Xenopus tropicalis: one gene and its partner. The protein of the gene in region 2 binds, or shares a complex with, the protein of the main gene of each other region. Links are inferred from orthologs where the notes say so. Each region holds a gene or a part of one and is shown on either strand. Other genes may lie near its edges.

What was found.
Region 1: the proteins of aak1 (region 2) and pdlim5 are in contact, whole or in part, in a crystal structure (PDB 9F6S), measured with the Homo sapiens proteins. The link is inferred for Xenopus tropicalis from reciprocal best matches to the Homo sapiens genes AAK1 and PDLIM5. Residues at the interface, in NP_055726.4 of Homo sapiens: Asp956, Leu958, Ile959, Asp960, Leu961; in NP_006448.5 of Homo sapiens: Ala12, Pro13, Trp14, Gly15, Phe16, Arg17, Leu18, Phe24, Gln67, Ile70, Lys71.

What each region holds. Positions count from the first base shown.
Region 1 is NC_030677.2:76,396,847-76,413,763, forward strand, and holds the end of pdlim5 (PDZ and LIM domain protein 5), read right to left. Parts: intron 15,832-16,917; coding exon 15,657-15,831; intron 10,931-15,656; coding exon 10,750-10,930; intron 6,356-10,749; coding exon 6,235-6,355; intron 4,988-6,234; coding exon 4,872-4,987; intron 3,302-4,871; coding exon 3,212-3,301; 3' UTR 3,171-3,211; downstream 1-3,170. UniProt on the Homo sapiens protein: May play an important role in the heart development by scaffolding PKC to the Z-disk region. May play a role in the regulation of cardiomyocyte expansion. Isoforms lacking the LIM domains may negatively modulate the scaffolding activity of isoform 1.
Region 2 is NC_030679.2:122,506,562-122,523,478, reverse strand, and holds part of aak1 (AP2-associated protein kinase 1), read right to left. Parts: intron 13,283-16,917; coding exon 13,161-13,282; intron 11,723-13,160; coding exon 11,641-11,722; intron 10,298-11,640; coding exon 10,165-10,297; intron 8,021-10,164; coding exon 7,917-8,020; intron 7,538-7,916; coding exon 7,458-7,537; intron 7,193-7,457; coding exon 7,038-7,192; intron 6,645-7,037; coding exon 6,355-6,644; intron 6,233-6,354; coding exon 6,056-6,232; intron 3,819-6,055; coding exon 3,571-3,818; intron 2,715-3,570; coding exon 2,557-2,714; intron 1,989-2,556; coding exon 1,872-1,988; intron 1,365-1,871; coding exon of another isoform or gene 1,266-1,364; intron 1-1,265.

The DNA of each region.
Region 1 (16,917 bases), on a different chromosome or scaffold from region 2:
TATGTTCCTGCTATATGTGCCCATTTTGGCCTCAGAAGGCTGACTAAAGTGGACAGAGTAGCTGAACATCTATGGCTACAGAGGCCTTAATGGTAAAACATCTGGATAGATCCAACTTCTTCTTTCTGGCCATTAAATAAAAACTAAAAATTTCCATGAATTTTTAAAGCAGTCTAGCTGATTGTCGTACATGGCTTTCAAACATACACTGAGAGATAATTGGGCTAAATCTACTCTATACTGTATACCATACTGCATACTTACACCATGTATTATGAAGCTTACTCCAGCGAGAAGGAAGCTGCTGACAAAATGAGAGTTGTACACAAACAATGGGATTTAGCAACAGACAAAATCCCGATGAAATCCCAGCTAACAGACTGTTTAAGGTCAACATGGCTCACAGATCCCAATGGTCAGCAACTGAGATCAGTAACACAGCTTTTGAAGCTCCAACATAGGACATACTGAATTCATACTTCAATGGACACCACTTTTCTAGATGGCTAAAAAGCGAACCAGTTTGTCTGATGTGTATGATGTCCTTCCAATACCTTACTCAACTGCCTGTCTTTGTACTGCATAAGACACTTTCAAATCAAAACCATAACAGGTTTTCTCAAAAGCATCCTATGCAAAACTGCAGTACAACCAACTCTTGCATACATGTTGTTTTGTGAGGGCTATATGCCTCTCTTACTGATATCAATGTGCTCTGAAAGGCGTCACCTGCTACATGTGTTTTCTGCTTATGAAACACATCATATTTATAACAACAAATTACAAGAAACATGATTCTGTTATTCTGTCCCCAAACAGTGTGTACTTGTTTAAAGAACACACTATAAATACAGTAATCATGCAACTGTGCATACAGTGAATAACTTTAAATAGGAATAGTGAAGGTGATTTTGTTTCTCGGCTAAAAGCAGTTAAGTTTTACGTCATGAGGAATAAAGCAGTTAACTCATTATAAATACACCTGGTTGGGCCTGTATGATTTTTTATGATTTTATAAGAATTAACATATTATTATGGGTTATTTTGACATGGCTTTAACATGACAAGGGGAACTTAATACAATAACATATAAACTGCAGTAATCAGTTCATTCACTGCATATTATGGGAAGTATCTAACAGTCAGGGAGCGGTTACTGAAACTCACTTACACAGCCAGATGGGAAAATTATGCATATATGTTTACATTTACTATGTTAAATTGGTTATTTTTAGGTGATATACAGTGGGCCCTCTATAAACAGAAATCCTCATTCATTAGGTAAAAAACAAGCATCTTACATCTGACAGAAAAAATAGTGCAGTTTCTAAAAACTATCAGTATAAAGCAGACCCCAAGAAATAAAGATGGCAGTAAAAGTTATAGCATATCCTGTGCATTTTCTCTTCCCCAAGTGTTACCAGGACAAAAAGCAAAAAGTGGCTTAAGGGCGAAGACACATGGGGTGCTTAATTTTAAAAAGTTGCTGCGACTAAACGGGCCAGTGCAAACAGCACATGATTAGTTGTCACAACGCGCATGTTAACCTATGGCGGTAAAACTCCACGATTAGCCTCCGCGATCATGTTTTAAACAAGTCGCGCCAACTAATCGCTCTGTGTATCTTCGCCCTAACAGCCTCTGCATAATATATTTAAACCACAGGAAAGAACAGTATGTCATTCACACACATACGTTTGAAAGGTTGCTATACTTTCCATAGCAGTGTTGCTTCACCTAGATGATTGCAATGTGATATTGCCAAGTAGAAATTGCACTTTCTGCAATAAGTTCAATAACAATGGGATGAATGACATAGTGTAAGTAGGGACGATTCTAACTAAAGAATACCTTTGCCTCTGCATTTCAGGAATTCCTTCTTTGGAGAGCTAGGAACAGAATCAAGAGTCAGTTCTAAGGAAAGACCCCTTTAATAAACGGAGTATTTTACTTGTATCCACAGGAAATACATTTTTTAGCGACTCTACTTTTTGCCCTATAGCACTATGCTTCTCAGTAGGTGATCCCCCAACTCATTACTCTCATTACTAGTTTTAACTATAGCGGTTAAAAAAAAAGACTTTAATAAAAAATATGGCATGATATGCACTGATTTCTGTGTTGTTTCATGTGTCTACTCCATGTAAAACAAATAACTTAAAACACTGAATATTTAGAAACCACCAACTAATAAACAGAAGCCACCTAGACAGCTGACTATCTCTATACCCAGTGTCCTGAATGTGGTACTTTATAGAAACAAAGGTATATATGGTAAGAAAAGGTAGGTAGGTAAATACTGAAGCCACTTGATTAACTAGGATTTTGAAAAGGTGTTCAATTAAAAACAATAGATTACAATATATGTGTATTATGATACGTGTCCAAAACAATGGTACTATGGGTATTATTTTTCCAACTGATATTGCTGCTGCAGGAGTTTGCCCCTCTCTTACTTATACAAATCATTCTTTCATGGCTCTAAATGTGCATATCTAAATGTGAAAATTATTAGATGTGTATATTAAACACTTGCAATGTTATGCAGAAACACTGGCAAAATGTACCTTAGGACAGTAACCATTAGCAACTAATCATATATTTGCCTTCAATATTCTAGAAAAATAGAATCTGACTATTAATTGGTTGCTATGGGTTACAGAACAAGGCCAAGTTTGGCTGTGCTCCTGTATAACCCCTTCTATTTTACAATTACCCAAATGCATGAAGGGTAATGCCACACAGAATGTAATTCACATAAAAAGATAAGAAATATGGAAGACGTATCAAGCAGTTACAACCTGTATACCAATCTTTAAAATAAAATTGTTGCTGCTAGTCCCACTCCTACTAAAAACATAGAAAAGTAGAGGCTCATTAGGAATAAATAATTAGTTTGCATAATGGCTTTACAACTGGTGCATTAACGTATTGTGATCATTCTTCTGATCACTATTGTGTTTTCCATTCCATACATAGATGCAAACAGAAGTGACAACTTATTATTAAAAAGAAAAACCTCTATATTATCCAAAATCTTTTTAGTACATCGTAGCAGCATCTGATTTTTTAAACTTTCTGTAAAAATGTTATATTTTTTATCATCTATTCAGGCATGAAAATCATGGAATAAAACCCACAAAACTCAATACTCGTCCAATAACGCTTTAACTTTTTCTTATTTCTTGGTGCTGGAATCAGGAACCCAGGTTCAAAAATTCACAGAATGGGCATGCTTCTTGCACAGAAGTTTATCCTTCTTGGAGAAAAAGGTCTGCCCTTCCAGATTTTCACAGCATATCTGCAAAAAATAAATAAAATAATATATGCATCATTTAACTGAGGCATTTCCATATACAGGATTACAAAGCTATTTAAAAAAAAAAAAAGCCAACAACAACTCATTAACAAAGATCTATAACAAACAGGGTCGGATTTGGCCACCGGGACACCAGTAAAAACCCCTTGGGCCCCAGTGGGCCAGACCCGATCCTTTCGCCACTCCCCCAGCCGCTGGTGTCCCACCCCTGAAGCGTTGAAAGTAAGTTTTGCGCTCAGGGGAGGACGTCGGGCGGATAGCGGTGGCCCCTGTGGGAGGTGTGGGGCCCCCAGGGCAGTAGCCACGGTGGGACCTCCTGGTAACAAACCTAACAATCTGTCTAGTGGACCAACAATCTATTATATCAGTCAAGGTTATTTATAAACACTGGTAAAATTTGCACTTGGACAGTTACTCATGGCAACCAATCAGATTTTTGCTTTCATTGTTCTACTTGCAGCTGGTAAAGAATGCTAATCACCATAAATTATTATGAGTTACTGCCCAAGTGCAAATTTGCCCAGTGCTTTTAAATAAGCACAGCACGCCCTGGCATCCAGGTACTGTATGTGTCATTGTAAGCCCAAACCTTGTTTTTTTGGTGATTTTTTTGGTCTCCAGCTCTTTTCTTATTACTAAAAATCTAATTGAAATATTAAAATCTTAAAAAAACTAAATAACATAGGTGATCTGCACCACGTAAACTTCACACAAATGAACCAGCAATGTTAAATTGAGTGAATGACATTAAGGCTCAGTGCTAGGAAAGATGATACTATACGTTCAGTGTATTACCGTAGCTACTGCTTCAGACTGAATAATTCTATTATACTGACACTTTAATATAATATTTGCACTCATTTAGACTTCATTGCTGCAGAAACATGCACTGTTGCATTTTTTATTTACCCAGAAATATAATGTCACAATGTATATTATTTTTATAGCAGTATCCTGTAAGGATTTAGGGCTTTTATTTATCCAGGTGAATCACTTCATTAAATTCTCCCAAAACTAATCTTAAAACTTTGTTTAGCAGATACACAAATTTTATTGCAGACCTTTCCTTAAATAAATACTAACATTTATTTCATAACAATTATTTGAAATATCATATTACTTTATTTATTGCTGATAACTGCTGCAAATAAATCTTTTCCTATCTATGCTAACAAAACAAGCTGTAAATAATTTTAAGCATAGAAAGCAACATGATATCAATTAAATGTTATGCAATTGCCAAAAGTGCATCAGTGATGCAGGGTGATACAATTTAGATGACAGCTTAAGGCAGGTGTCTTTTTTTTAGCCCAAATGTAATATAATTACCATGCTGTGTATATTGTATTTGCAAGTAAATATATTTTCTTTTCTTTTCTGATTTGCTTTAAAGTCAATAATACCTACAAGTGGCACGTTTACTAAAAATGACTGACCTTGAGCTGCCCTCAAGTAACACTGTGGAACTTTCATTCACCTATCTACATTAATGTCAAATCACAGAGTTATACTGAAGTGATCAGTTTTCAATATCAGGCATAGTTGTACTCACTGTGCATACAAAACAGGTGTTATGCCAGGTGTGTCCAAGAGCTTCCAAGAACCTGTCTCCAGCTTCAATGGGGAATTCACATCCATGGCAAATCGTACCGAATAAGGAATAATAATCTAAACAATAAGGAGTCTAAACATTAGAATATATAGCAAACTCCAACACAGACGTATTCTCCAAAATGAGAGAAGCCAGATGGAACGGCAAAAGACAGGAGGCAAAGTGATTGCTGAAACATATGGGGAGAAGTTAGTGCCAGGTAGTCACTTAATGCTTAATCTCCTCTGCTTCAGCAAATATAGTTGCTTACTTCAACTTGGCTTTGACATAGATTTTAAATGATATGTATGAGATTAGTATCTAAAGTGCTCACAGACAACCATAATGTCATAGAGTTGTGTTTTGATTTGAGGTTGCATCTTCAGTCATATTTGCAAAGATGCCCATCCCATCTATGATTTAACAAATATACAGTATTATGTTGGGGTTGAGAAAACTGATCGTCAGTCGGATATTAAAGGTTGCATGTAACATTTTATATCCAGGGTCATATTGGCCTGCCAGAGTAAATAAGCTTCTAATAAAGAAGCAGGCCAAATAAAAGTAGGAGAAATACGTGCATTTATTTTGCTTTTAAATCTGACCAAATAAGGGGCAATCTATTGGCTTTTTTGGTTGTTTTTTCTGTCAGATATTTATATTGGCCTAACATTTTGATAAGGCCAGATCAGTGCCAATGGCATTGATCTGCGCCTCTGACCCATAAGCTATAACTTGCAGATACACCAATGTCCCCAACATGTTCTGGTGGTAGGCATCGGCATCAGCAGATAAGCAGATCAAATGGCCTATAGAAGCTGTTTCATGAAGTAAGATATATAGCAATGTCAATAGGTAAGGCTTGTGATCATCCAAATTACATGCCCATATTTCTGTGGGTATGACTACCGTCAGCATATATCAGGAATGAGTGCAGCCATAAAGGAACACTGATCATTTTGTGCATGCAGTCAGCTGCCATTTCTTCTATAAAATGTAATGATTGGTCAATCCAGTTACTGGATGAAACTAAGGATATCTTTTTTTTTACCAAATGTTATTGAAATTCTAAAACATTTAACTCAGATTGCTTTGTGATAAAACGAATTCAAACACCAATTTACTTCTGTTTTTAATCTACAATTTGAGGGCTACCATGACACAAGAGAGCTTCCCCATGGAAGAAAAATGCAAGAGACAAGGATATGGTAAATGCTAGTGCTTTAATTCTATGACGCTTACAGTATGTACAATACATCAGTAAGGGGATACGATAAGTTTAAAGCTGTGGCCCAAAGAAGAATAATATGTATAAAATACACACCTGTTTCGCAGTAGGGTTCCCCATCTTCTAAATGAAAGACACTATTCCGAATAGGAGTTTGACAGGCGACACACACAAAGCAGGAAACATGCCAAGTCTGTTTTAGGGCATTGATGACTTCCTGTCACAGAAAAAGACAGGAGAAGTTCTAATCAATAAGTGATTTAGATGTAACTGCTAGACAGAGTTATTATTTCTCACACTTGATATATTACAGAAAAAATGCTCAGTTTTCATTCTGTCTCAAGGCAATGTTATATGAGAACCTAATTAATAATTGAAACCACAATTTAACTGACTCACCATATTTGTAAAGTGTCTAATTGTGAAGAGTTATGTTGCAGAACCAATAAATACTGTAGCTGAACACTGGGTGAAATACATAGCTTTCAGCTAGAAATAAACCACCAAATTTTGGGTCCTTTTTTTTTTTTCAAAGGAATACTGGCGTGTCCCTATATTTGCTAGAAATATGTCAGTACTAATAGTAATATAGTAATAAGAGACTGTAACAAAGAACAGCAATTATCTTTTTTTTTTTTTTTTGCCCCAAACCCAGTGCTGAGGGGAAAGAGCTCGGCAGAGCAAAACGTCCATAAACTTCAGTAGAAATATCAACATTACTTGCACCAATAGTGGGATTTCACCTCCACCTGTCTAAAATGACTAATGTAACTGGCTTTGTGCACTCGGGTGACCGAGAGTCACTCAGGCGACTAAAGCCTGGGCACAGTGTTGCAAAGTGTAGGTAATACTGGGCAGGTATAATTAAAGGGGCAGTTTGGATTTTTTTTTTAAAACAAAAAAACCCACAAAAGAACATACTTTTTCTTTAATACTGACACATTCCTTTCTACAATAGGAACCTGGTAGTATCACTTTAAGTACATGGAGCACTTTACTTTATAATATATATATATGTCCCCCTAAAATAGAAATAATTGGCTATAATATTTTGCATGCAGAACAAACAGAATTTTAGTATATAATGTTTGCCATGCCTACTGTCACTTCTTGTTGCATTCCCCTGAATCTAAGTACTATGTTAGCCACTATCCCCCTGCTATATGTTATATGTATGTGTAGGTAATACATGATATGTATTTGGTATGCTGTATAAGAACTATTTATACAACAAAGATAATAACAGAGAAAGTATTTGTATGCAAATACAATCCATGAGTTTCATAGCTCTGTAACTGTAATCCAGTTAACAGTAACTAATAGCTACATCTACATTAGTTTTGGCTTAAAAATAGAGTTTAAAATCTCAAAAATGCAAAAAAAAAAAAAAAAAAAAAAAAAAAAAAGCAGGTACAATGTGAAGAATTGTTTATATAGTCATTGTCAAAAATACCTTTGCACTTTTTACAAATATATATCTATAATAAATTGATCTCACATTGATTTACAATTTTCTCATTTACTATTAAGGTAACGGAATTTCAGATCTGAACACAAAAATAAAATTGAAAATGTTATTGGCACCAAACGTATAACTGAACTCAAGTACTTCGTATAGACATGAAGGAGCTCTCTGCATCTCTGGACCATTCTTCTTCTGAAAACTACTTAGATTCTCCTGGATTTGAAGCATGCCTTCTCCCAACTGTTCTTTCTAGATCTCTCTGACAATAAACTTATAGTATTAAGATTTTCTGTCTCACCTACTCAACTTTTATTTATTTTCTTGTTCAGTGTGGTACACAACTAACATTCAAACTGACTGAACGGTTAAATCTTTATTTACAACATCTTCACCTAATTGCTGGGGCTGGTGCACCGGGACCACATTTTACTCTTGGTGAGTTACTTTTTTCAACTTTGCTTTTCTGTGTTGGACATATAAATATATTTTGGTTTCAGGCATTATGCCATAGCAATTAAGAGCACGCTTTTAAGTCTGGAAAGGATCATTGTTTGTAAGACTGAGGCAGACAAAATATTCCCAGTATATGCAGTGCATTTCTGATAATAAGTTTTTGCCCACTAAGTTGTAAAGCAGTTACATCTGCAAAGCCTAAAAATTAAATTTCAATATTGCAATCACAAATTACTCTTGGCTGCAGATAGCACTCCATAGATCATTCACAAGCTCCAATATGATGCAATGCTAACATTCTGAACTTTTGTCATCATAACATTAAATAAATTTAATGCAAACAAAAAAATAAAAACTACATGAAACATTCACATACCAACTTGCAGAAACTGAAGCATAGCAGCCTTGCCACTGGTTAGATTTACAAGGTGGCCTGGGTCAGGCACCTTAACCCAAACTGGAGGTAGTTCTACCAAATAAAATTGCCTCTGCACACACTACAGAAATCAACGACGATTTGTTTATTGCAGTCTCCTTGGAATTAACAAGCTATGCTGCTTTCCAAATTCAGGACATGGAATAAACCATTAAATTAGTGACCTGATTTTTGCTACAACAAATTATTCAGGTACATGCTTAGCAATAAACGTTACTGTAGGTGTGTTTATTGTTATTTTCATTTTACAATTGTTTTGACATATTTGTAAAATAATCTAGAATAAATTGGTTCACATGCCTCCACGACATGTATGCACTATAGATTTAAACTGTGCCAATAGCCTTTTATTGGGTGATGAGTCCCCTGGGGCTTTTAATTTTAATGTGATTTGTAAAATCAATCAATAAATAAAATACACAACTGTGATTGTGTTGGAATAGCTAATGAAAGACAACAGTGCCTGCACTTTCCTAAGCAAATTGCAAGTCTCCAGTGAAATCGAATGACAGGCCCACAATTTAAAGCCTTTAGCATGGAACATGAAAATATAAAATAGGAGTGTGTTGTTAATGTCTGCAGTGCTTTTACCAAAACTATGCTCCTGTATTTACTGCACCTTTAAGCCACATCTCATTGGCTTGCTGGTCAAATAGTTAGGAAATGTGTTGAGACTGGTAGAAAGAAAGATGAAGTGTTATAGGTTTCCTGCACTCGCAGAGATGATTATTCCAGCTGGGCTGAATATGCAGTTGAATAAACATTATTAGCAGACAGTCGATTAACGTCACATATAAAGCAGCCAAAGAGTTCACAGATTTCATCTGACCCATCTATAAAACACAATCAGTGTAACAGTGTCTTCCTACTTGTTGTATAATTTATGTTGTTTTTTTTTTTAATTTTTTCTAGAAGCTTTTCGCGCAGCACCAGAAACCATAAAAGTGGTTAGCAGATATCGGTTTCCAAAAACCACTTGTAATAGCTTTTTGTGTCTGGTAACACAAGCAGTGAAATGCCTTTTCAATCCCAGAAGCATCTACTAAATAAGTCAGATAATGAACATCTCTAAATAAACAAAACATTTCACTTACAGAAATAAAATGTAAGTTTTGAAAGTATAGTTTGCACAGAGAAGCTTTCCATGGTTTATTTGCATGGAATACGTGACTTCAACCATACTACTACCATTGGCTTAGGCACAGCACTGACTTCTATAGATAATGGGCAGTTTGGTGATATATAGAAGGAACTGGTTCTACTGGCATTAATAAAGAATACTTCATCTACGCCAAAAAATACACAACGTTCCCTTAACACATAAATAGAAATTTTCAGAGAATAATATTATGCATATACTATAAGCAACACTAACATTCGTAAGCATTTTATATGTAATGGAAATATATCAGTAATTATTTTTTTGTTTTTTTGCAGCAATCTCAACTAAATTGTATATTGTTTCATTCCTTATCCAATAATTTCCCTTGATAGTTTTAACCGTTAATAGTTTCTTAAAAGCAAAGTATTTTTGCTTTGATTTTCCCACAGATGTCATTTGAGAGTATATACAAGCCCACAATGACAAAAGGGAAGCAGGCAAACCTTTAAAGCTGATTATGCAGAAAGTGGGTCAATTAGGGCTTATCTGGTGGAAAAAAACAGGTAGAAAAAAAAAAGCATCCGATTGGCTGCTATGAGCAACATCACCAGTAGTTTTACTCCACTTTTTACACAGCATGATAAAGTTGACAGCCTATATCTGTATGGCAAGCTTAAGTTTGCTTACAACAAGTGCTCCCTCTACACTAAGGGCTCTGGCACACGGGGAGATTAGTCGCCCACGACAAATCTCCCTGTTCGCGGGCGACTAATCTCCCCGTGTGCCAGAGCCCTAAACATGGCTTTCAAAGCGTAGTCAGAACTGCTAAACTGCAGGCATAATGAGTGACCCAAGCCACATAGGACATGGCTTATTTATCTTGCACAAACCCAACTGTTCTTCAGCTGCAACTCTTGATGCAGGACTCAATGTCAGACCTATTAATACTACATGAGGCATACCCCTCCCCCAGTTTATTTTTTTTTTAATATACAAAGGTGTCCTACTGTTCTGCACAAGAATTCCTATGCACTGTAGAACAAATGACAATTGATTCTTTCCTGGCTTGAACATAAAGCTACATTTTAGTTGGAACTTAGTAGTACAAAATGACATTACTGGATGTATTGCACTTTGCTAAAATGTGTTACTTACACCAAGTATCTTCCTCTGACAGCGGGCACATTCAGGTGCAAATAACTTCTCATAACAAATCTCGCAGTACAGGCCACCCTTCTCTTCAACAAACCCCATCTCTGCCATGCTTGATTTGCAGTGGGCACAATTGAATTCTTCTGGGTGCCATGATTTCCCCAAAGCCAATAGGAAGGGCCCCCTGAAAACATAAGAGAGGTTTGAGTCCAGGTTTAAGAAGCCTCAATTTATTTTACTCAAATTTGAGGTATTTATTCTAACTATTACCTGTTTTCAGTTTTTAATGAATTGAATGAAGTGAGATCTAAAACTGATCCTAAGGCAGTGACTCTATGAGCAATTGTAACATTATTTCTAGTTTAGTCAATGGTCTCTATCTAAGATTATCAGGTTTGTCCAGGCTTGAAATTGAGAATTCAATCATTTAACATATATCTTAACGATAAATAATGTATGTTATACAATAGTGAAAGAAGCAGTCAGTTCCAAGTTACTGTAAACTAACTATATGCAGTAAAATTGACATGCTCTAACATTAATGAATCAATGCTAACACTGACCTAATTTGATATCCTCTGTTCTTTATACAAGCACCTTTACACACCAATGGCCTTTCAGTTCAGCATAGAACTAACAATAGGACTCCTTATGTACAACAAACTGCTCTCTTCTCTGAGTGTCAGCACAGGCTAATTTAACGGACTCATTAACAAAAGACTGACACTAAAGAAGACAAGGTCTTCCCGTTCCAGACAGGATTAGGTTTCCATCTGTATTAAAAAGATAGGCTTCAGTAGCTAAATGTTACAGAGGATGGAAACACAGTGGACAGAATGTTAGAGAAACCAAGGACAGAAAAGGAAAAGTTAGGGAACACAATCTTTGAACAATGATAGGTCTCTGTAGATTACAATGCTGACATTCTCTGGTCAGACCACCAAGTTCAAACCCAGGTGAACAAGGGATTATGAAGTAGAGCAAATAATCATGTGTCATGCTCTTCATATAATTTTTTAAGATGAAAACTGTACCTTAGGGATGACAAACTGGTGACCCCCAGGATGATAAGATCTATAACGCTATGCCCCAATGAAATAGTTAGCTATGCTAAGTGCTAATAGGGGTACACAACTGATACAATAATCCACACAAGCAAAAGTGACACAGTTATAGCCAATGTGAAATTTCCTTTGAATTATGTAAATGTGGAAGTGATGAAAGTGTGGTAGATTGTAAGCTCTTTTGGGCAGGGCCCTCTTCACCTCTTGTATCGGTTATTGATTGCTTTATATGTTACTCTGTATGTCCAATGTATGAAACCCACTTATTGTACAGCGCTGCGGAATATGTTAGCACTTTATAAATAAATGTTAATAATAATAATAATAATAATAATATTTTCTTACTTGTTTACAGATAAATTAACAAGTGGCTCAGTAACTCTGACTAAACCAGTGTTGAAACGGAGACTTAAATGTGGTCTAGTAAGTTGTATATAAAGTATCTAGTAGAATTAAGTCTATGACAACTGGACATTCTGAGTTAACTGTCACAGGACTAACTCAGAACGTCCAGTTGCTTCTGTTAGATACTGTATATAATGACCTGGATGAATGAGATTCTTTATAGACACATTGTATATAAAGTATTTTCCTCGGACTTCAGCTGGTGCCCCTGTTGTATAGCATAAAACAAATATTCATGGCCCAAAGTTGTTTGGATTTATTTTAGATTTAGTGTAACAAAATGTTTGGCTTTGAACATGTGTATGTCGCAGCTTCTGTCAAGCTCTAAAGGTCTAATTTGCATAGTGACTACAGAGTAACTACAGAGTAAGGCCTCCAAAAAGTTGAAAAGCAAAACATAGTTTTAACAACTATGTTAAAAGAAGGCAATTTGTTCCAAATCTAATTTAACAGTATTTACTCTAAACATTTCTGACCCCCTGGAGCTATGTTACAATTAATCGTCAGTCTTACTCAAAGTGTGCAGATTAGAAAACATTGCAATACAGTTAAAAACACCAGCACTGATCGTTTTGAGTGATAAATGCCTGTCACTTGACAGCACCAGGAAAAACATTCCTATAAACTGCTATAAAGAGGGCTGGAAAAACAACCCCATAAATCAGTAAAACCTCAAAAGAAAACTTACAAAACAGATCATATATACATAAACAATAAAAAAGTGTTTATTTGAGGTGCAGTTATAGAATACTTTGGGAAAGACTGACTAGCTTTTAACACTTTTAGTGACACAGATCAACAGTTTGTGGATAAAAGCACCATAAAAGTGCTACAGATATTAGATTCTACAATCCGATGCACTTCCGGGTCTGAATGCTCCGATTAAGCTTTTAAAGCAGGTTCAGTGTTTGTGATCTGTTTCCCTAGACAAGGAGGCGTTTCTGCCATTTCTGGTGTGGTACTTAGAACATTTCATAAAACTATACATATTTGCATTTTCTGTTGTATATTTGTGCACAAAAACATATTGTATATATATATAATATTTTATCTATTTATTTTGTGGGTTTATTTTTTGTCTTAAACAGTCTACCCTGTGGTTAGCAATTACTGGCTGGATGTTTGAAAGCACACATCTGATTGGTTGTTTTGGGTTACTAGATGTGAGCAAACCTTTTCAGTAAGACCCATTTTATCTTGCGAATGAAAAATGCATATTGCAGGATGGTCTGGGTTCCTATGTAATCTCCTATGTAATCTCATCATTGCTTTGTCAAAAATACTTTTTTTCCCATCAATTTAATTACAAATAGCAGCTCTTTTTTTGTAAGCCATACGCATTTAAACATGCAAAACTTTATCATTCTCAAATCAATAATTAAGACGGCGCTAATAAAAAAGTGATGCTATCTAAAGGATCACTTTGACTGTGTAATGCCAAGGCTTTGTGAGGCATGAAGTAAACCATCTATGTCTTGGATGTATCTTGGTTTTAAAACAGGTGTACCAGACTGCCATTTGATACAACAACCTGCTTTTCTTTGAGGTAATCCTGCCTTGGAGGGCATGAACTGTAATTCTATTAAGACAACCAGAGACAAAACAGCTGTGCCCATTGCTTCTCTACCAGAGGCTATGAAGAGTACTTTGTTATACACAAATTGATGAATTGTAACACACGGAAGAAAAAAATTACTAAATTGGAGTTCCCACAGACAAAAACCAGATATAAATACTGTATTATTCAATAAACGTCAAAGATGGAGATGTTCCTCTATAAAAAAAATAAGCCAACAGCAACAAATCAGACTGCAATTATTTATCTTTGTTTTCTAAAATATTCCTAAAAGTGTCATTTTAACTTGGCTCCCATCACTTAATAATACTGTGTTTCAATTGCTCTGTGTAATAGCCCAAATCTAACTGACCCCCCACTCCCCATCCTTTTTTTCAGATAGTACCACTATGCACTAGGCAGCAAAGGAGGCATACAGATAGGGTATAGGTGCGGTTAAGGGCCACATTCTGTGGCACATGGGGTTCTCTACCCTGGGAGAGAGAGAGAGACACATCATCATGCAAAAAAATTGGTGCCAACTGGCATGCTATATATTTTAGGTAATGGAAACATACATGTGTATATATATGTGTATTATATATATATTATATATATATATGTGTATTATATATATATGTGTATATGTATATACATATGTATACATATATACATACATACATACATACATACATACACACACATACTATGCAGGGAACTTCCCACTAAGGAAGTATAATCTCCATGTGAAAGTCGTCAGGGTGCAAAAAATAGGTGCCAATAGGTGCCTTTCCAAACTTGCCCTCTACCCTGTACTATATCTATTGCCTAAACCCCCCTTCCACCCCATAACGTGCAAGTCATTCAGATGCAAAAGTTAGGAAGCACCTTGTGGCTTAGGGAGCACCTTTTATTGGCCTTGTAGCTTGAAGTGCTGTCATAGGCTCAGTATATACTGTACACTGATTTTACTGACACCTCTAGACACATTTGATGGCTCATCTTAGATGTGTCTCAAAATAAGACTACACCACAGCACCTGACAGCCATAAATTATGGGCACTTATAATAAATACTTTATTGCAATGTTGTCATTAACATATCCCTTACCTTTAATGTTCCAAATAAATTGCTGTATTTTTGTTAGACACTAACAGGTCTCTTTTACTTACAAGTGTTTCCCTTTTTACAAAGAATGAGTAGCAGTCAAAGTCACTCGCACAACTAGCATGTCTAATTAGGGCTGGTTATCTTCTTTTTTTGTATTGGCTGATCATCAAATTGTAAAACAATATAAGGGGTTATATAATAGCCTTTACTTTCATAATTAAATAACTAAAGTCTCAGCAACTTGTAGATTTAGCAGTACTTTCTGAAAAATTCCTTCAAAAATGCTAGACAGCAATACCATACCAAACAGAATTAGTGCAGATATTATGCTTATTAAGTCTACAGCTCACTAGAGCTTTACACAGTACTGCAGTGGTGAAGGGTGTCACATCATAAATAAGGCCTAATGGCACTTGACATATTTATTCTTGCCTTGCATACATTAGTATGTGTTAACCACATTGCATCCAAGGCACCTCTTCATTTCTAGGAAGACCAATCAAACTCCATCAAGCTTTTCACTGCAGGTTAGGTCATCAGTTCCTTTAGTATTAGTTTAGGTGCTCTTCTCTGAGCTTTTTGCAATTATTCTATTTTTTTTTTTTTACCAATATAAAAAGTTCAAGATCCTGCTTAAACCTTCTAAACAGATTAAGACTTATGCAGGGAAGAAGCTTTTAATGATAAAATGCATCTTTCATTTTTCTTCATTTATGTGGAAAGCCTTGCTTTGTCACACTGAAACAACGTATTTATGAACATTTGAGGCTGCGTACCTTATAACTTTATTGCAGATGGCACACATTGGGGTACGGGTTCCTGCTGGTATATGCTCAGCTCTCTGTACCAGCGTGTCCTGGTCCTCTATCCAAGGTGGGGGGACGGACTTGTTATTGGCAACAGGTTTCACAGCATTTGATGCATTGTTGGTGACCTGTCCACTTGAAGGAACTGGAGGAGAAGTGGGTTAAATGATAAATTTCATACACAATAATACATATTTAACATGCTAATATTCTACATTTCTATAGCACAGGAAATGGGGAGGTTTCATATACATTTGGTTCTGAATGTATTGACCTTGTGTGCCCTAGTGTGTTTATCTGCAAACAGTGATCTTTATGTGAACGTGTAACCAATTGGGTGTGAGCATATAGGACTCCACTGAGCTATAAAATATGTTAGCAGAGAGTGAAGAAAACATATACCTTCTTTTCTGATGAGCTCATTCAGCTTGGCTTATACACAAAATGTACATAAGCATCAAAACCTCCATTAATAAATAAATGTATTTTTATACAGACATAACTGATTACACAAATTAAAAGGATGCAACAATAGGGGCATGTAACCCCTGCAGCACTAGGGACGTTTTAAAATATATTATGAGGTGTTGGAAGAGAGCATTTATTGAGCCAGCACAATCCAATTTAGATCATACACTGCTCACTAATCTGCCTGCTTGGTAAGGTTGCCAAATGGAGTTAATCATTGTATGATTTGGCCACCAGGGTCAATGACTGTATCACATGGGGGCCGTACAAACACATTAGGAGAGGACTGGATAACAGCTTGTTTCTCAATTTTACACAGCCCCGTTTTTTAGCAAACAAATGCCACAAACACAGTAACCAAACTGCATTCTGGAGTGCTCACAATTGTCTACCTGGAGGTATGCGTGCCACATCACTGCTATACAAATGAAGGTGCATACACCAGATGCAGAACACCAAAGAAACTGCATGGCCTCCTGTATGCTCAAAGACCCAACAAACTACTTTGTTCAAATTAAAAAACTTAAAGTTAAAAAATCCAGCTCTTCTATCACATAATTGTCTCACTACATACAAAATATTGCAACTTGCACATCCAGCTCATAAGCAGGTGCATCCATCTAATGCAGAAACTAAAGCTGGCCATACACGCACCGATCGATATTCGGTGCGTGTATGGCGAGTCGACCGGTATCGCAGGAGGACCGGTGTCGACTCGCCAATCGGGCCAGTTAAAAGATTTTGATCGGGCGCCATAGAAGGC
Region 2 (16,917 bases):
CTAACACTAGGAGAAAAAAACTGAGCCTCTGTGGGCTGCGCTGTGGGGTATAGCTGAGGGGGAGGAGCATTCTTTTTAATAATTCCTACCTAGTGTCCTGCCTCCTGCAGGTGGAGCTATACCCACTGTCCCTGTGTCCCCCAAGCTATTGTGTGAGAAATACACAAGCTCATGTAATAACTACTATAGGAAGAAATTATGCCTGGACTGTGTGCTTAGTAATGTAACACATGGGTTTTATTCAGTTTAATTCAGGGAAAATAACCTTGATCAGAAGCTAACTTTTCCCTTAAGTGCCAGACCTTAAGCAGGTGTTGCATAATAGCTTGTATAGCACATTTTGTGCCCCCTGTAGTATCTGGAGGCAGTGACATCACAATTCAAATATAGAAATGCCCAATCTCTAGTGTGCTCCTGCAGCATCTCAAATCCTTATCCCAACCACAGGTTAACTACCATTACTGGTGCTATGACTCTTTTTACCAGTTTTGATTCTATCAGCTTAATACTATCATCTTCTGTCCCACTGATAAACACAGCAGTCCTATTTGGCTAGAAGAACAAGTTATTAAAAAAAATGTTTTACATCCTATTTTGTCTATAAAATGCCATGCTGCTCCCAATTCTTTGCCTATTTAGTAGATAGTGGATAGATATATTGATACACTTGAGATCTATGACTAGAGAATTATACACATACATACACACACGTGCGCTGGATCAATAATTTAATATGCATTCAATAGTTTCTTTATTTTTAAACAAGATCAAGGCATTCTGAGTACAAAGCTATTTCTAGTGAAGAGCCAGTGCTTGTACAAATGCCCAAGATCACATCACAAACCTATATCTGATACATGCGAGTCTGGCAAAGGTAGTCATGCCCATGTACCATACTACAATATTCAGTGTGTGTAGCTCTATTCACATCATATCTTCATGTGCATTTCTTATCCTATCAGGAAAGGTGATTGCAAAGCCCACCACAGAAAGTCGAATGTGCAACATAGATTGTTTCTGTGAGCTTTATAGGTTAAAAGCACGTGAAATCACAAGCAGTAATAATTACCCTAATAATAATAACACACATAGCTTTTCCTATTTGGGAAAATGATCTGTTACAGGTGAATGTGCTCTGATTGCTGATTCAAAATGCTGTCTGTGCCATATCTCACAAATATAAATATGTTTTATTGCATTTACAATAAAACAAGGGCATGCTTCCACTCTTTTATTGATGGGTTATTTTTTTTTTTTTTTATTACCTGGGGTGTCAGACAGAGGGAGAGGCAAGAAAGAATCAGAAGTTTTTTGCAGCTGAGAGCCAGGACTGGGCCCCTGTGAATCTACAGGTTTATCTGCAGCTAAGGAATCACACCAAAGGAGAGAGAGAAAAACAAGAAGAGAAAATTGACAAGTAAGAATAAAAGACAGAAAGGGAAGTTTCACCTGAAGAATGTCAAATCCTTGTCTCCACCACTGGACCATTAATGATGCCTGTGACTCTTTCCACCAGTGAAAGGGTTAATTGCCAAACACACATGCAAGTAACAGGGGTTAGCCACATAGACCTGAGTGCTTTGACTGTAAGGGTTTTTAATTAAGAAGCTTAAGTGGAGCATGAACATTTAAACCAACACCATCCCAATAGTCACAAGGCACTGTTAAAGTAGGGCTTGGTTGTACAGGGGAACAAAGTACTGGAAGGAGGAGAAAATATTCCTTATTCTCAGAAAATAGTTTAATTACTGCAGGATGTTTATTGCTCACTTTTTCAAAATCTGTGCAATTTGTTTAAATTTATTAAAGAGGAAAAGCCAAATGTTTGCTACATCTGTAATAAGGTTTCAAGGGAAAGAAAAGACAATTACCTGAACCACTGGCAAAGAGTGCAGTTCCAAATGAATCAGCCTGAGATACAGCAGGTGGAGCTGGAAACCCAGATAGGAGATCTTCTGCTGAGCGGCTCAGCTGCTCCGATGGCTTACCTGAAAGAAAAGATGGTAAGAAGTATCATATTATTTGTTAAAACAATAAAATGCCTTGTAAAAGTTTAGGTTTGGACACTAATAATAGATTACAGGAAGGTAGTAGCTAAAATATTAAATTTTTACTTTTAAAGGATGGATTTGGTGACTCCACAGGCCAAACACATGCCATTATCATCTTATGTTCTAGGTCCCCAACAGATGAAGTATTTAAAGACCAATTTAGCTCACTAGGTCTATTAAAAAAGGATTAATAGGCAGCTCAAGCGCCCGTGTTACTTGCTCAAATGCAATTATCAACATATTCCAATCTGAGCATATTATGATTAAAAACGCACTAGTTAGGACTAGGCAGATAGCCAAACTGGCCACCTTCATCTACCAGTGAGTATCAAGCTTTACTAGGCCACAGAAACTGTGACAATATCAGAAATAGCCAGATTTAGCCAGTGTTATGCATCCTTATAGTCTGGATGGTTTTTGTGTTAATTGGGGTTGCAAACAGATTTATGTACAACTCACACTGTATCATCATATATTTTAACAGCTAAAATTAAGGATATCTTACTTTCTCCAAGCTTGGCAAAATCCTTATTTAGAAGTTCCTCAGCTGTGAGTTTGGAAAAGTTGTCATCGTCGAAAGGATTCCAGCCAGAAGGTTCTGGCGGATTGTGAACATTCTGCTGGGAGGTCCGAGGTGAGCCAGAAGGGGTGGTTGTAGCTGACCTGGCAAAAGCGGGAAATTAGGCAGAATTTAGGTTGGGCAGAAAAAATACAATTTAATATATTATAGAATGGATGGTTCTTGGTAACTTTTCAATTAGTCTTCATTTTTTTGGTTTTTGAATTATTTGCTTTCCTCTTATGACTCTTTCCAGCTTTCAAATGGGGTTCACTGACCCCAGAAGCCAAAAACCGTAGCTATTTGAGACTACAATTTCACGGTTACTTTTAATTACTTAACTTTTTATTCAGACCCACTACTTTTCCTATTCCAGTTTCTCATTCAAACCACTGCCTGGCTGCTAGGGTAATTTGGACCCTAGCAACCATTTAACAACAATTTCTAACTAGAGAGTTGCTAAATAAAACAGCTAAATAATTCAAAAACCACAAAAAATGACATATGGACATATGTTTAAAAACTTGCAGTCAAAAGCAGCAGATTTATAAAAAAAAACGCAAAGTAATTTCAAGCAAGCAGATTTTTTACAAATGTAATTGGGTGCTTGTTTTCTAAAAAATAATTCCCAGTGATGCTACTTGGTAACAAAGGGAAGGGGGGGGTGGTGCAATATTTTTGTGAAAACTTATTTGTTGTCTTCTATATTCGTGGAACTATGGCTGAATGGCTTACACACCAACCTTTTCTTATATCCAGAACCTGTAAAATGGCTGGAACTCCAAGGAGGCTTGAACTGAAAATATCTAGCAACCACAATGATAGGGAATGATTATAAGGCACCCCTACGGGGCTTGTTCAATCACTGTGCAAAGTGTATATGCAAATAATCACCTCTGGGAATATTGTCATCTTTTCTGTGCAAAGAAGCACATAAGCATTTTGTTTCAAAATACTTACTTTGATTTGTTGAGGTTTGCTTCAGCCGCAGCAGCCTGTAGAAGCTGAGTAGATTTACTGGCTGGGACACCGAAAACTGCACTATGCGTAACATCACTAAGTATCCTTCTGTGGCCGCCTCTTTGGGTCTTGGGGGATGAAGGAGGGGTAAGGGATCCCAGTTTCTGCCCTGCTGCTGTGGGAGGTGCAGAAGATGGAGGTGCTGTAGGTGGCTGGGGCTTCTGTGGGGTCTTGAGTGGAGCTGGCTGCTGTAATTATATGTGACAAAAAGATGCATAACAATACACTATATTAACTGTTCTATGGTTGCATCATCGTAATAAAGTGGCTAAAAGGCAAGGTCACTAAAATTCTGTGTTTGCTCCAGAAAGAAATATTTTTAGAAAGATTTATACATCTACAGTGGAGGAAATAATTATTTGACCCCTCACTGATTTTGTAAGTTTGTCCAATGACAAAGAAATGAAGTCTCAGAACAGTATCATTTCAATGGTAGGTTTATTTTAACAGTGGCAGATAGCACATCAAAAGGAAAATCGAAAAAATAACTTTAAATAAAAGATAGCAACTGATTTGCATTTCATTGAGTGAAATAAGTTTTTGAACCCCTACCAACCATTAAGAGTTCTGGCTCCCACAGAGTAGTTAGACACTTCTACTCAATTAGTCAACCTCATTAAGGACACCTGTCTTAACTAGTCACCTGTATAAAAGACACCTGTCCACAGAATCAATCAATCAAGCAGACTCCAAACTCTCCAACATGGAAAGAGCTGTCCAAGGATGTCAGAGACAAAATTGTAGACCTGCACAAGGCTGGAATGGGCTACAAAACCTTTAGCAAGAAGCTGGGAGAGAAGGTGACAACTGTTGGTGCGATTGTTCGAAAATGGAAGGAGCACAAAATGACCATCAATCGACCTCGCTCTGGGGCTCCACGCAAGATCTCACCTCGTGGGGTGTCAATGATTCTGAGAAAGGTGAAAAAGCATCCTAGAACTACACGGGAGGAGTTAGTTAATGACCTCAAATTAGCAGGGACCAGTGTCACCAAAAAACCATTGGAAACACATTACACCACAATGGATTAAAATCCTGCAAGGCTCGCAAGGTCCCCCTGCTCAAGAAGGCACATGTGCAGGCCCGTCTGAAGTTTGCCAATGAACACCTGAATGATTCTGTGAGTGACTGGGAGAAGGTGCTGTGGTCTGATGAGACCAAAATAGAGCTCTTTGGCATTAACTCAACTCGCTGTGTTTGGAGGAAGAAAAATGCTGCCTATGACCCCCAAAACACCGTCCCCACCGTCAAGCATGGGGGTGGAAACATTTTGCTTTGGGGGTGTTTTTCTGCTAAGGGCAAAGGACAACTTATTCGCATTAACGGGAAAATGGACGGAGCCATGTATCGTGAAATCCTGAACGACAACCTCCTTCCCTCTGCCAGGAAACCGAAAATGGGTCGTGGATGGGTGTTCCAGCACGACAATGACCAAAAACATATAGCAAAGGCAACAAAGGAGTGGCTCAAGAAGAAGCACATTAAGGTCATGGAGTGGCCTAGTCAGTCTCCGGACCTTAATCCAATAGAAAACCTATGGAGGGAGTTCAAGCTCAGAGTTGCACAGAGACAGCCTCGAAACCTTAGGGATTTAGAGATGATCTGCAAAGAGGAGTGGGACCAACATTCCTCCTAAAATGTGCGCAAACTTGGTCATCAATTACAAGAAACGTTTGACCTCTGTGCTTGCAAACAAGGGTTTTTCCACTAAGTATTAAGTCTTTTTTTGTTAGAGGGTTCAAAAACTTATTTCACTCAATGAAATGCAAATCAGTTGCTATCTTTTATTTAAAGTTATTTTTTCGATTTTCCTTTTGATGTGCTATCTGCCACTGTTAAAATAAACCTACCATTGAAATGATACTGTTCTGAGACTTTATTTCTTTGTCATTGGACAAACTTACAAAATCAGTGAGGGGTCAAATAATTATTTCCTCCACTGTATATGGGTTTGGAGCACATATCATGAGTTGCCAACACTTGCATCCAGAACACAACCCAAGTTCAAATGTAAAAAATGACCCACCAGGAATACAAGCAATATCTCTGAAAATATAAGAAAGGGTTTAAATGCTTCACTTCTAGGTCAAATATTCAAAAGAAATAGTTTTGTAAAATGAATATTAAATGTTGTTCAAATATCTGCCATCACTTACGCCCCATATACAACTAAGCCTTCAAACATGCACAAGACTATTGCTTCACATATATAGCAGCCCTATGCAATGTTAATCAAGGGCAAGTTGGACGTCTACTTTGATTACCTATATTGTGGGACATTTTACACTGGCACGGACAGATGGTAGCAAGACAAAAAAAAAGTTTCCATTTAATCTAAATATGCTTTAATTAAACAGTGTTTATTTTCTTGGTGTCTTAATATCTTAACATGTTAATGCAACACAAGTTTAATCAAAACACTTACCCCCTGTTCCTGAGCTGCAGGAGGCTGGAGAGCAGCTGGCATGGCTTGTGGCTGACTTGGTAAAGAAGACTGTTTAGGTGTTGCCACTTTCTGTTGCATAGCGGCATGCTGTGCCAATAGATGTTGCTGCTGCATGTAATAGGCCTGAAGCATCTGCTGCTGTTGCATGGCCTGGATCTACAGTTAAGCAGGACAGAAATACCAGCAGAGTGCATATACATGCAGGCACAAAAAAAAATATATATACACACTCCAATATGAAAAAACACAACACAATTTCACCAATAGTTTACCCTTACCTGTTGAGCCTGCAGCATCTGCTGCTGCTGCTGCTGTTGATAATATGCCGCAGCCTGCTGCTGTTGTTGTTGCATAAGTTGCTGTTTCAAGTACAGCTGCTGTTGCTGTTGTGTCAGTGCAGATTGCACAGCAGCTGGAGGAGCCTGTGGAGTAGCGGGCTGTGGAGTGGTGGTTACAGGTGTGGGAACCTGTGCCGCTGGCTGTGCTGCTTTTGGCTGAGTTTGTACAGATGGTCTCACGGCTGGTGCCACAGCTGCAGGGTTAGGGGACTGGATACTTACTGGTGCAACTAGAAAGACAGCACAGGCACTAATCATGTATCAAATGAAAAAAACTGGAGTATACACATCAGAATGAACTCACCCCACTTAAGTGGAAATCTGTAACCGCATCTCTTAAAATTCAGTTTATACCTGCAACATGGTTGCAAATAGTGATCTTATCCAGCGTATTGGTCTGACCCCACACATGATCTACAGAACCAGACTGTCACACCCTGCAGTGAGACCCCAGTGTAGCATATTTCAACTGCATTCAGTGGAACCCAATAGCGTGGTTTCATGGTCACTAAGTTATATCAGGTGAAAAGGCTCATGCTACCTGATATCCATTTATACAGTGAGGATGGAACCATATACTGCTAAACAACAGTGACATTGGCTGTTTACAGACAGACACATACCTGGAGAGGGATTGGCTGGCTGAGCCATGGCTCTTTTGCGTGGGGTTAAAGCTGGCTGAATTGGAAGCATCCCAGGGTTTGGCTGAGGCTGACCAGGTTTCGGCCTCTGGCGAGGCGCTATGGATGTCTCTGTTGTTGGAACAGGGTCTGTCAACCTGCACAACAAAGCACAGCAATACAGAGAATCCACTAGAATCATTGGTTTAAGCAGCATCTAGTGGTAGAGCCTGATGCTAAAAGCTGTAACACCAACTTGAATCAAATGTGTTCTATATATTTCCTGCAATACTTTAATAAACAGAAAAAAAAAACATTTGTATAAGGAGACCATTAAAACCACTGGTGTATACACAACCCAAGAAGAAATGTACAGAGACATAACTGATAATTGCAAAAGCTACAAGCTTGCTTTTATAATACCTGGCCTTTGGTTGGGTTTTCTTAGCAGCAGCCTCCCCAGCTTTTATAGGTTCTGGAAGCTTTACAGGAATCACAGCATCCTGGAGAATAAGAGCAAGAAAGGGTGTTACATGTATATTGTGATCCCCAATGCTCTGCTACCTTCCCTCAACCTAGCTGCCTTCCAGTTTGTAGTCACTGAAAAGACTTACTTTTGTAGCCAACAGTAACCCAATATACAAAATATAGCTCAATACTCTTTTTTTCCCCGAAATGTTATGGCGGGTTTTTTTCCCCTCTTATGTGTGTGTGTGTGTGTGTGCTAACAGGGAAAAAAGTGATCAAATTATAATCCAGCTTCCACCAATCAGCCAGAAGGTAGAGGAGAGGGAGGCAACAGAAAAAGGGCACATGTTAGTGCAGAGACTAAAAGTGGAAGACATACTGGATATCAGCTGGTAGACTGACATGAGTACCTACATGCACATTCTGCACAGGGCACTCCCTTTTTGCCAGCTTGAAGGAGAAATAAGATACTTGGTAGATATCGGGTCTCTTGTCAGGGTCTGGCTCAAGCATGTAACCTGTGGGGTAGACCAACAACATCAGAAAAAGTCTATATTATGTTCTTGCATATAAAACACGAACAAATTCTTGCATGAACCCAGTTAACACACCATTGGTTAGAATCTAGAAAAGTGTCAGTTTAAATATGCATATGTGCTTTTATTTATTTTTTTTTAAGATGACTCCAGGAATGTATTTTTATTCATAGCCACGCAGTAGGCTGTAATACACCATGGCAACATTAGCATGACGAGTAAGCCTAGAAACTATATTCTGTACCTTATGCATTGGGTTTATTGTAATTACATCAATGAATGGAATGCCAAGTATTTCTTGAGCATGATGGAGCATCAAGTAAAAAAAAAAAAAAACTCGGATCTTCACTTGCAATGAAAGCTTCTGTATCTATGGTCCGCTATCTACGGCTTATGGGTAAAGCTCATATCCCTTTCTGAGGCATTGGTTAAAGTGGAACTCCACCCAAGCACAACTGAAGCTTTTAGAAAAGAAAGCATACTTTCAAGCACCTATGCAATATACATCAGTTAAAAATATGCAGTCTTTTTATGATTTGTAAGGTATATGGTTAGGAACAGTTACCTAAACCTGGCTCCCTGTTCTCCTGCTGATCTGTCTGACTGCATTAAGACTCAAAAATATTACAGTAGTCAACTGTCCTCAAGATGCATTCTCCAAATCCCACAATTCCCTGCACATATGAAGTCAATAAGGAAATGAATATCACAGTGCAATGCATTGTGGGTTATGTAGTTCCTGCATGCAGTATGAAAGCTGCGGAGAAGTTGTTACAATTTGTAACATTAATGTTTTAGTCCCTCCTCCCCTGTCAGGATTTCAAATGATGCAGAAAGTACTGTTTTGCAGCTTGATTTCAGCATATAAAAATGGTATGTATCCATACTTTAAATTGCCCATTTGTGTCTGTTAGTTACCCCTCCTATATAGATTGTAAGCTCTACGGGGCAGGGACCTCCTTCATCTTGTGTTTCTGACTCTTATTGCAACTACACCTTGTATTTATTTGTATTTATTGTTGTACTTTGTATTTATCCATTATCTTTAACCCCCTGTCTGTATTAATGAATTCTACTGTACAGCACTCCGTACATAAGTAGCGCTTTATAAATAAAGATATACATACATACATACATACTTTTTGAAGGAACAGATTACAATGATAAGTATATTAGGGGTTTCTGTGTTGTGTGGGGCTCTTAAGCAAATTCCTCTTTAATCTTTATTAAAGAGCTATTGTTAAGCCTTGGTTCAGGCTGCGCTGCCCTATCCAATGGCTCCAAACAGATGCATTGAGAGTCACAGGAGGAAACTGCAAGTGTGTCCCCCACCCCATTTGTTATCAAGGCAGGTCTCAGTGTGAATGAGGTTTGCATTAATGGCTTTGAAGAGCACCAGAGATTTCAGGTAGTCATTTCCAAGCCTTGGTCTCACTGTGCCGATTGTTGGGAGTTCTGAGGGGCAGCAGCACAAGCACTCCCTGCAATGACTATTTTTATTTAAACAGACCAACAATTTACCTTTAAGTTATGGCACACAAGGTTAATTCAAAACACGGAGAGCACAAACTGTGACCAAAGCCCCACACTGGTTGCATAAATATAAATACACATCAAAAACATCCATTAGGGTTGCCACTAGCTTATAGGGTTTATAATCTTTTATCCCTTTCATTTCCATTTAAATGCAGAATAACTTACATTATTTACATTTACATCCTGTTTATGAATGCAAATCTCTGACTCAGTTTCAAAGTGATTTTTAAAGGCATGACAGTACTGCTTGAAGCCAATAGGGCCTGCTGAACTACAGACAAGAAACTAATTACAATACTGTTTTATACCTTAGGCTTTTTAAGTGTACAAAACTCATTTTCAATTACTGCATATTATTGCTTTCTCTCTCTACTACTGCTTTATTTCACAGTCAGCTATTAGTCAAAACATGAGGTACTGGAATGGTATAGGTCTTAAAAATCCATGCAAGCAACAATAGCAAAAGCAAAGAAGGTCGGCAACAGGGTTTATGGATTCACACAGTAAGTACAGAATGGCATTTCAGGATTTTGCTCTATATCCAAAAAATGAAAGAAATAGCATAAGACACACAGGGAATAGACACCTACGGATCAAGCAGTGCATGTCCTGGGAGTAGCGAGAGTTGTCTGGGATAGTGAAATTCCCATCACAAATGGACACCTGACTCTCTCCAAATGGAAGTGTGAAGAAGCAGAGCTTGTACAACAAGCAGCCTAAGGCCTGAAATGAGAGACATACACAAAAGAGGAAGAAAGAGGTTAGCAACGATAGTTGACAGTAGTTAAGTACTCCCAGTGGCCAAGCCCATAGAAACTGAATATTAAGCAGAGCTATAAGGGATTCAGAATGAGGATGGAAGGAGAAGTCAGTTCTGTGTCCTCTCCTTGGAAGTACAGAAAATGGCTCTATGTAATAACATATGGCTTATGTAATAAAACACACTAAGTTTGCACAGGAGCAGTATCCTATAGTAACCTATCAGAAGGAAGCATTTACTGGTCACCTCCTTAAAAGCTAACTTCTTATTGGTTGCTATTAATTATTGCTCCTGGGCAAACTTAGAGCCTTTTATTATACATGGGGCATACTGTTTGAATGTAAATAGCAACTAACCAGTATAGCAAGATTTGGCCATAGGTAAAACACATGTCGCAACTCCCATGAATAAGAAAACTGTTAGCCCACTAGGTCAGCCACTGATTATCAATGTTAGAGACCCGCATCGGGTCAGAATACCCACAAAGCAGTAGGGTTTGGGGCAGAAAATCCCCAATTCCTTGACCTTTCAGGAGGTCCACAGCTGCGATACCTCCCACCCACCCTAGACAATACAACTATTTTTTCACATTACCCAGCTGATCCACACTCCAGTCCACAATGACGTCCCCAGGTCACAAGGCAAGTTAACATTGTGGGTAGAATCAAGTAGCAGGTCTAGGTCTGCCCAACTGAACCTGCACAGGACTCCATGCTTTTTCCCTGCCCTTACCCTCAGCAGAAAGTCTACATTATAGCATCACAAATTTTCTGTGAAACATTAACCCAAAAGGGAGTTTATAAGGTGATGCCACTGCACTCTTGGCTTCCCATGTAGGACAAACAGGAAATGAGAATAGTTATGTTTCAGGTAATTGGTAATCAACTGAAAACCATGTTCAGAGGAAGGGTGCAACATTACCATGGAACAGAATGGCGGGCACACATATATAAGCTCCTGCCAGCGGCAGATCAGACAAAGCTGGGAAAAATAAAGAACTCCTGACACTTCCTCAGAGAGATTTAATTTTGTTGTAGAGCTTCTGACATGAATGAGCAGATTATGACGCTCACAGATATAGGATTAAAAGATTCCTCACACAGCAGAATCTGTTGCGTGAGCAATATGTGATAGCAAAACCTAAGCCAAAATTGGAGCTTGAACTAGAGTGCCAATGGTTTCTATACCTTATTCAGGCAATGGAAATCTCTAGTTTTGCAGTTTTGTAATGGACATTATAAAAATGCCCCTCTCTAAAAGGCACACAGCTAGGCATTCATTATGTCTGCAAGGAGATCTTACATACCCAGATGTCCGCTTTGGTGGTGATCATTTTGCCACTGTACAGATTCACCATCTCAGGAGCCCGATATGAGAGGGTTGTGTACCTGATGCAGAGAAGGCAATTGGTATATATATTAGTCATTTTTTATTTACCCTTTCTCTTCAATTCATTTTCTTCTTCAGTTCAACGTTACAGCAAGTGGTGCGAACATAAAAAACAGAAGTTGCAAAATACCATATGGTGCTTGTGAATAATTAGCACCGGTTTTTACATTACTGACTTTTAAAAAAAAAATGAAGCAGGAGGTGATAGAACAAAATAATGACTTTATAACATTTGTTTGTCAAGAGCTGCATGATAAATTCGCTCAATTATACACAAATTATACATATTTTTTTTAATTGCATTAAGTGCATTTTTACCATAGCTATAGTTTGTGTAACTATATATTGTGATGCTAATCTACTCAATGACATTCTTCATGGCTGTTACAGATTAAAGTAAATATTTAATTATAAACAGTAGTAATGTAATTTAACGAGTGCACTTGCCCCTTGTGCAATGTTAATTAAAGGAGAAGGAAAGGTAAAAAACTAAGTAAGCTTTATCAGAAAGGTCTATGTAAATACAGCCATAAGCACTCACAGAGTCCTCTATTAGTCCTCTACTTTAGGTATAGTAAAGCTTTCTGCAGAATAAATATAGCGTTCTAGGTGGCACTAATGTGGCGAATCTATTGGCAGTAAAATGCCAAAATGACTTTTCTTCTCCTTTAAACAAGATTTTGGGATTTAAAACAAGGGCCCAAAACATTTTCACAGTCTTCCCTATGAGGGAGTATCAAGTTCAAGTTTATCAAGCTGCACCTTTGTTGTCATACAAATTAGATTACATTTAGATACCTTGCAGTTTTTACAATCAGTCGGTTACCTTAAGTCTGCAAAATGATAAGAGCGGGCGTGCCCATTTGTAGCCATGCCACTTTATTTTGGCATATTGTACATAGTACAACTGGAATTCTTTGTGTGGAAGTAGACACAGGGAGAACAAACAAATCTTTTTGCAAATGGTGTCCTGGCTGGAATTGTACCTATGACCCTAGCACTGGATCCTATTCACTGGAACGAAATCAGACAGCTTCCTGTAAGAAGTGCACTGGCTGGAACGAAATCAGGCAGATTCCTGTATGCAGTGCATTGGCTGGAACCAAATCAAGAACCTTCCTGTATATAGTGCACTGGCTGGAACCAAATCAGAAACCTTCCTGTATACAGTGCACTGGCTGGAACCAAATCAGGAACCTTCCTGTATACAGTGCACTGGCTGGAACCAAATCAGGAACCTTCCTGTATACAGTGCACTGGCTGGAACCAAGTCAGGAACCTTCCTGTATACAGTGCACTGGCTGGAACCAAATCAGGAACCTTCCTGTATACAGTGCACTGACTGGAATCAAACCTAAGTCCCCAGCACAGCACAGAAAAATTACAATACATTTTCTAGTTTTTTTTTTTAGTCAGTTTTCCAGCTGAAAAACTTACTTTTTAATCTCATCTTCCACTGCAGTGACGCCTTCTGTCTGTGGATTCTGGCATTTATTTGTTGCACTTCCAAAGTCACACAGCACATAGTGACCACGGTCATGTAGTAAAATATTCTCAACCTGTGCACATAAAGAGCATAAAGTGAGCCTGCGAAAAACAGGAGCACAAGCAAACAATCCTATCCTCAATTTTCAAAATGAAATTTTTTTTTTTGTTTTTGTTTTTATTACAAATGTATATAGTCTTGGTCTAGAGCACAGATCTTCCAGATCCTCTGAATAGCGGCCACTGATATTCTGGGACTTGTAGTTCACAGGGAAGACTGTATGACTGTATGTGTGAAACAGAACAACAGCCTGTTCATACACTAACAATACAAAGCTAGGTGGACTATCTAGATTGGGTCTGCTTGAGAGTAGGTGTGCCACATGCTGAAAAAAGCTATTGAGTTTTTTTAAACTGAGCAGGTTGATGATATGACACTAACAGAAATCGAATAGGGCCAGACTCACAGCGGGGATTTAAAATGGGGGTACTGTATATGGGAGAGTTTGAGTGACACCTTGCTTGCTGGCCATGTGAGCTCTAGCCTGATGAAGCACTTAGTAGAAGCAGATTGGCAGCAGGGAGCACATATTACTGTCAAACAGAAAAACTAAGGGGCTGCAGTAAGGTTCTGACTGATGGTAGGATGCTAAAGTGACAGTCAGAAGAAAACAAAGGGGGTTAGGAAGTAGCTTTTGCCTGATAACAAGCTGCTCGCTTACAATCTGTGCAAAGGAGATGAGACAGCAAAGTAGATTACGACTGACGGCCGCCAGTTCATATGCTGACAATCAGAACAAAACATGGCTTAAGGAGGAGATATTGACTGACAGCAGGCTGGTCACATGTTAAAAATACACAAATGCATGACTACAAAATGTCCACAGTCAGAATTGAACTGACAGAGCTGGGATCTAGAATAAGTCACATAAGTTTGTGCCCCTAAAAGAATAAAGGACTTTGAGTCTTTTGAGTTAACATCTTTATTTACTTTCTATAAATTAGTATTAGCAATAAACAAATTAGCTTAAAATGTAAGAATGAAATATTGGTAAATTGCATTTTAGTGCATCAGCCGATTTTCAGACTTACTGCTACCTCCGGTTAGCTGGAGATCATATAGTCATGTTTGTAAAATCTTTGCAAGTATTACAACAACTGTATGTGATATGTTGGCCTGTACTGCCCATATTAGTGTGTGTAGCTATACTATATAATAATATAAATAATATAATATAAATGTATTATTTAGATAAAACTACAGGCTGACAAAGTTTCATGAAGGAGTACATAAAAGTTAAAAATCATATATAATATAGTTGTTTTTTTCTACAAAATGAGCATCACAGATCCATAAATGTGAAAAGACTTTCAAATGGGTCACACACAACACATTACAACAGTGAATGGCACTTCATTCTGCTGCATTTCCAAACAGCTTTCTCCTGCATATATTCCCCTGGCACTATTAATTATTGCAGTGTTTATGTCTGCTAGGCAATGTCTTATGCACATTGATAATTAGGCAAACGTCAGCTAACAAACAACAGACTGTTTAAAGGGACATAATTATCCCAACCTTTATGTAATGTTTAGGCAAGCAGCTTTCTACTGTGTAACAGGACTTAATACTTTGGATTATTATTTCTTTGTAGTTGCCTGACGTAAAAAGATGCAAAAAGAAAGTAAGCCCCCGGAAAAGCATCTAGTTCAGATAATCTATAAATGAGGCACATTGAAAATAAACTATTGCCAAAAAGAGCCCGACATCAAGAGGGTTTATAGCCCAGGTACAGAGGCTTTAACTACTGCAATATTAATTCATTTCTGCATATGTAATTATGTTTACAAAGAGTAAATTAAAATTGGCAAAACATAAACGAGTTGCATATTTGCCATATTCAGTAATGATCCAATGTAAAATTACTTTGTTTCTTTTTGACTTGTTCCAGAACCAATTTTTGTCACATAATGGAATGGAAATCTGACTCACAAAGGCATATGGAAGCTGAACAAAATGTATTTTGCATCAAAAAAGCTAAATACTTCCACTTTACAGAACTAAATTGCTCCTAATTGCTACTACAATCTTATCCAATTTTTTGAAACACAATTGTTGCAATGGTTATTTCTGGGATGTGCACCTATGGTAATTATTGCGACAATTTCTGAGTCACTTAATAGATTTCAAGTTAAATGCTCCCAGCCATAGGCACAATTATAGACAACTGCGGTCTCCTTAAGCAGACTGAGAAAAATCTCACTGATCACAATACAGTTCAGAGTCAGCAACAAACAACTACAGCCATGTGAATGTTCCATAGTTCCCCCCTACTCCTGCCTCTACAGCAAGTTACCCTTTTTTCTGGGCAAGTCCTGCCTTAGCATTTATTCACACCTGCTCTCAGCCATTTCAGTGCTAACACAAAATCATCTTTATACTCATGCATCTTTACATCAGCCATGAACTCAAACCAGCCTTCATACCAAGATACCCTAATAAGCAATCGCTGCCTCCTTCTCCTCCATCCCCATCTACTCTCTCCACCATACATAGTTATCCTTAACCTCATCTACCCATTCCTTTACACCAAGTTATACTTAAGGGCATTCATTTTTTCCTTTATACAGAGTTAACAGGCCCATGGCACCTAAATGATGTGGAGCCTGTCATTAGTTTTAATAGAAAACATTGGTCATCGGACCATAAATGCCAGTTTGCCGACTTGCCAAAACCAGCATGTCACAGGGGTTCCATTAATACTAATAGCTTCTCACACATACTTACACCTTCCTTTATACCAAGAAATCCTTATTCAATGCTTCCAAAATTGTAATCTATAAAGGCTGGAGTGAACAGATGTAATAGCTACAAGACTACTTCCTCCTTGAAGGGGGGGCATTTGGGACATAACTGTTTGCTTAGGATTAAAAGCAAACTAACTGAACAGTTACGTCCCACGTGGCCACCCCCTTAAGTCACTGACTAAGAGGTTAGAGAGCTGAAAGGAGGAAGTAGTGTTGTGGCTATTATGTTAGGCATCTGTTCATTCTAGCCTTTATAGATTTTAATAGATCTTGGTAGATTTTGACTAACTATATTAGAAATATTTTTTATTTTGCACAGCCTATTTACCCAGTTTCATTTTTACACCGAAATGTTCCTTTAAATGCAGACATACACCGGCCAGTCCCATATAGTATTCAACCATATAAGTGGCCAGGCATGGTCTGTCTGCTTTTGTATTATTCAGGCCAACATCTCAAGCAATCAGAACTGCAGATGTGAGGAGGAACTGTCTGCTCTTCACTTCTTCATCTGCCTATGCATTGCTATGCACGGTGTACTGGCAAACATAGTGCACCTGCAAGTTAAATTTTCAAATCTTCCCAATAGGCATTGTGCCAGATATCCACAGTACTGGCTGGGCATGTTTGGCTAGAATACAAGTAACAAAAACATTTACCTTTAGAGCTGGATAAAATTTAGATCTAAACTAAAACAAACGGTATTAATAAACCATATTAAAAGAACATTATTATTCTTTATTTGTTTTGTGGCAACACATTCAACAGTACTTTACAAGTATTATACATCATTCAAATTAAACCCTAACCCAGCGGAGGATACAATTAAATTTCTCTTACATTTGTGCACTAGGGTCAGTTTTATCAGGAACCAAATAACATGACTATATGCTTTGGAGTT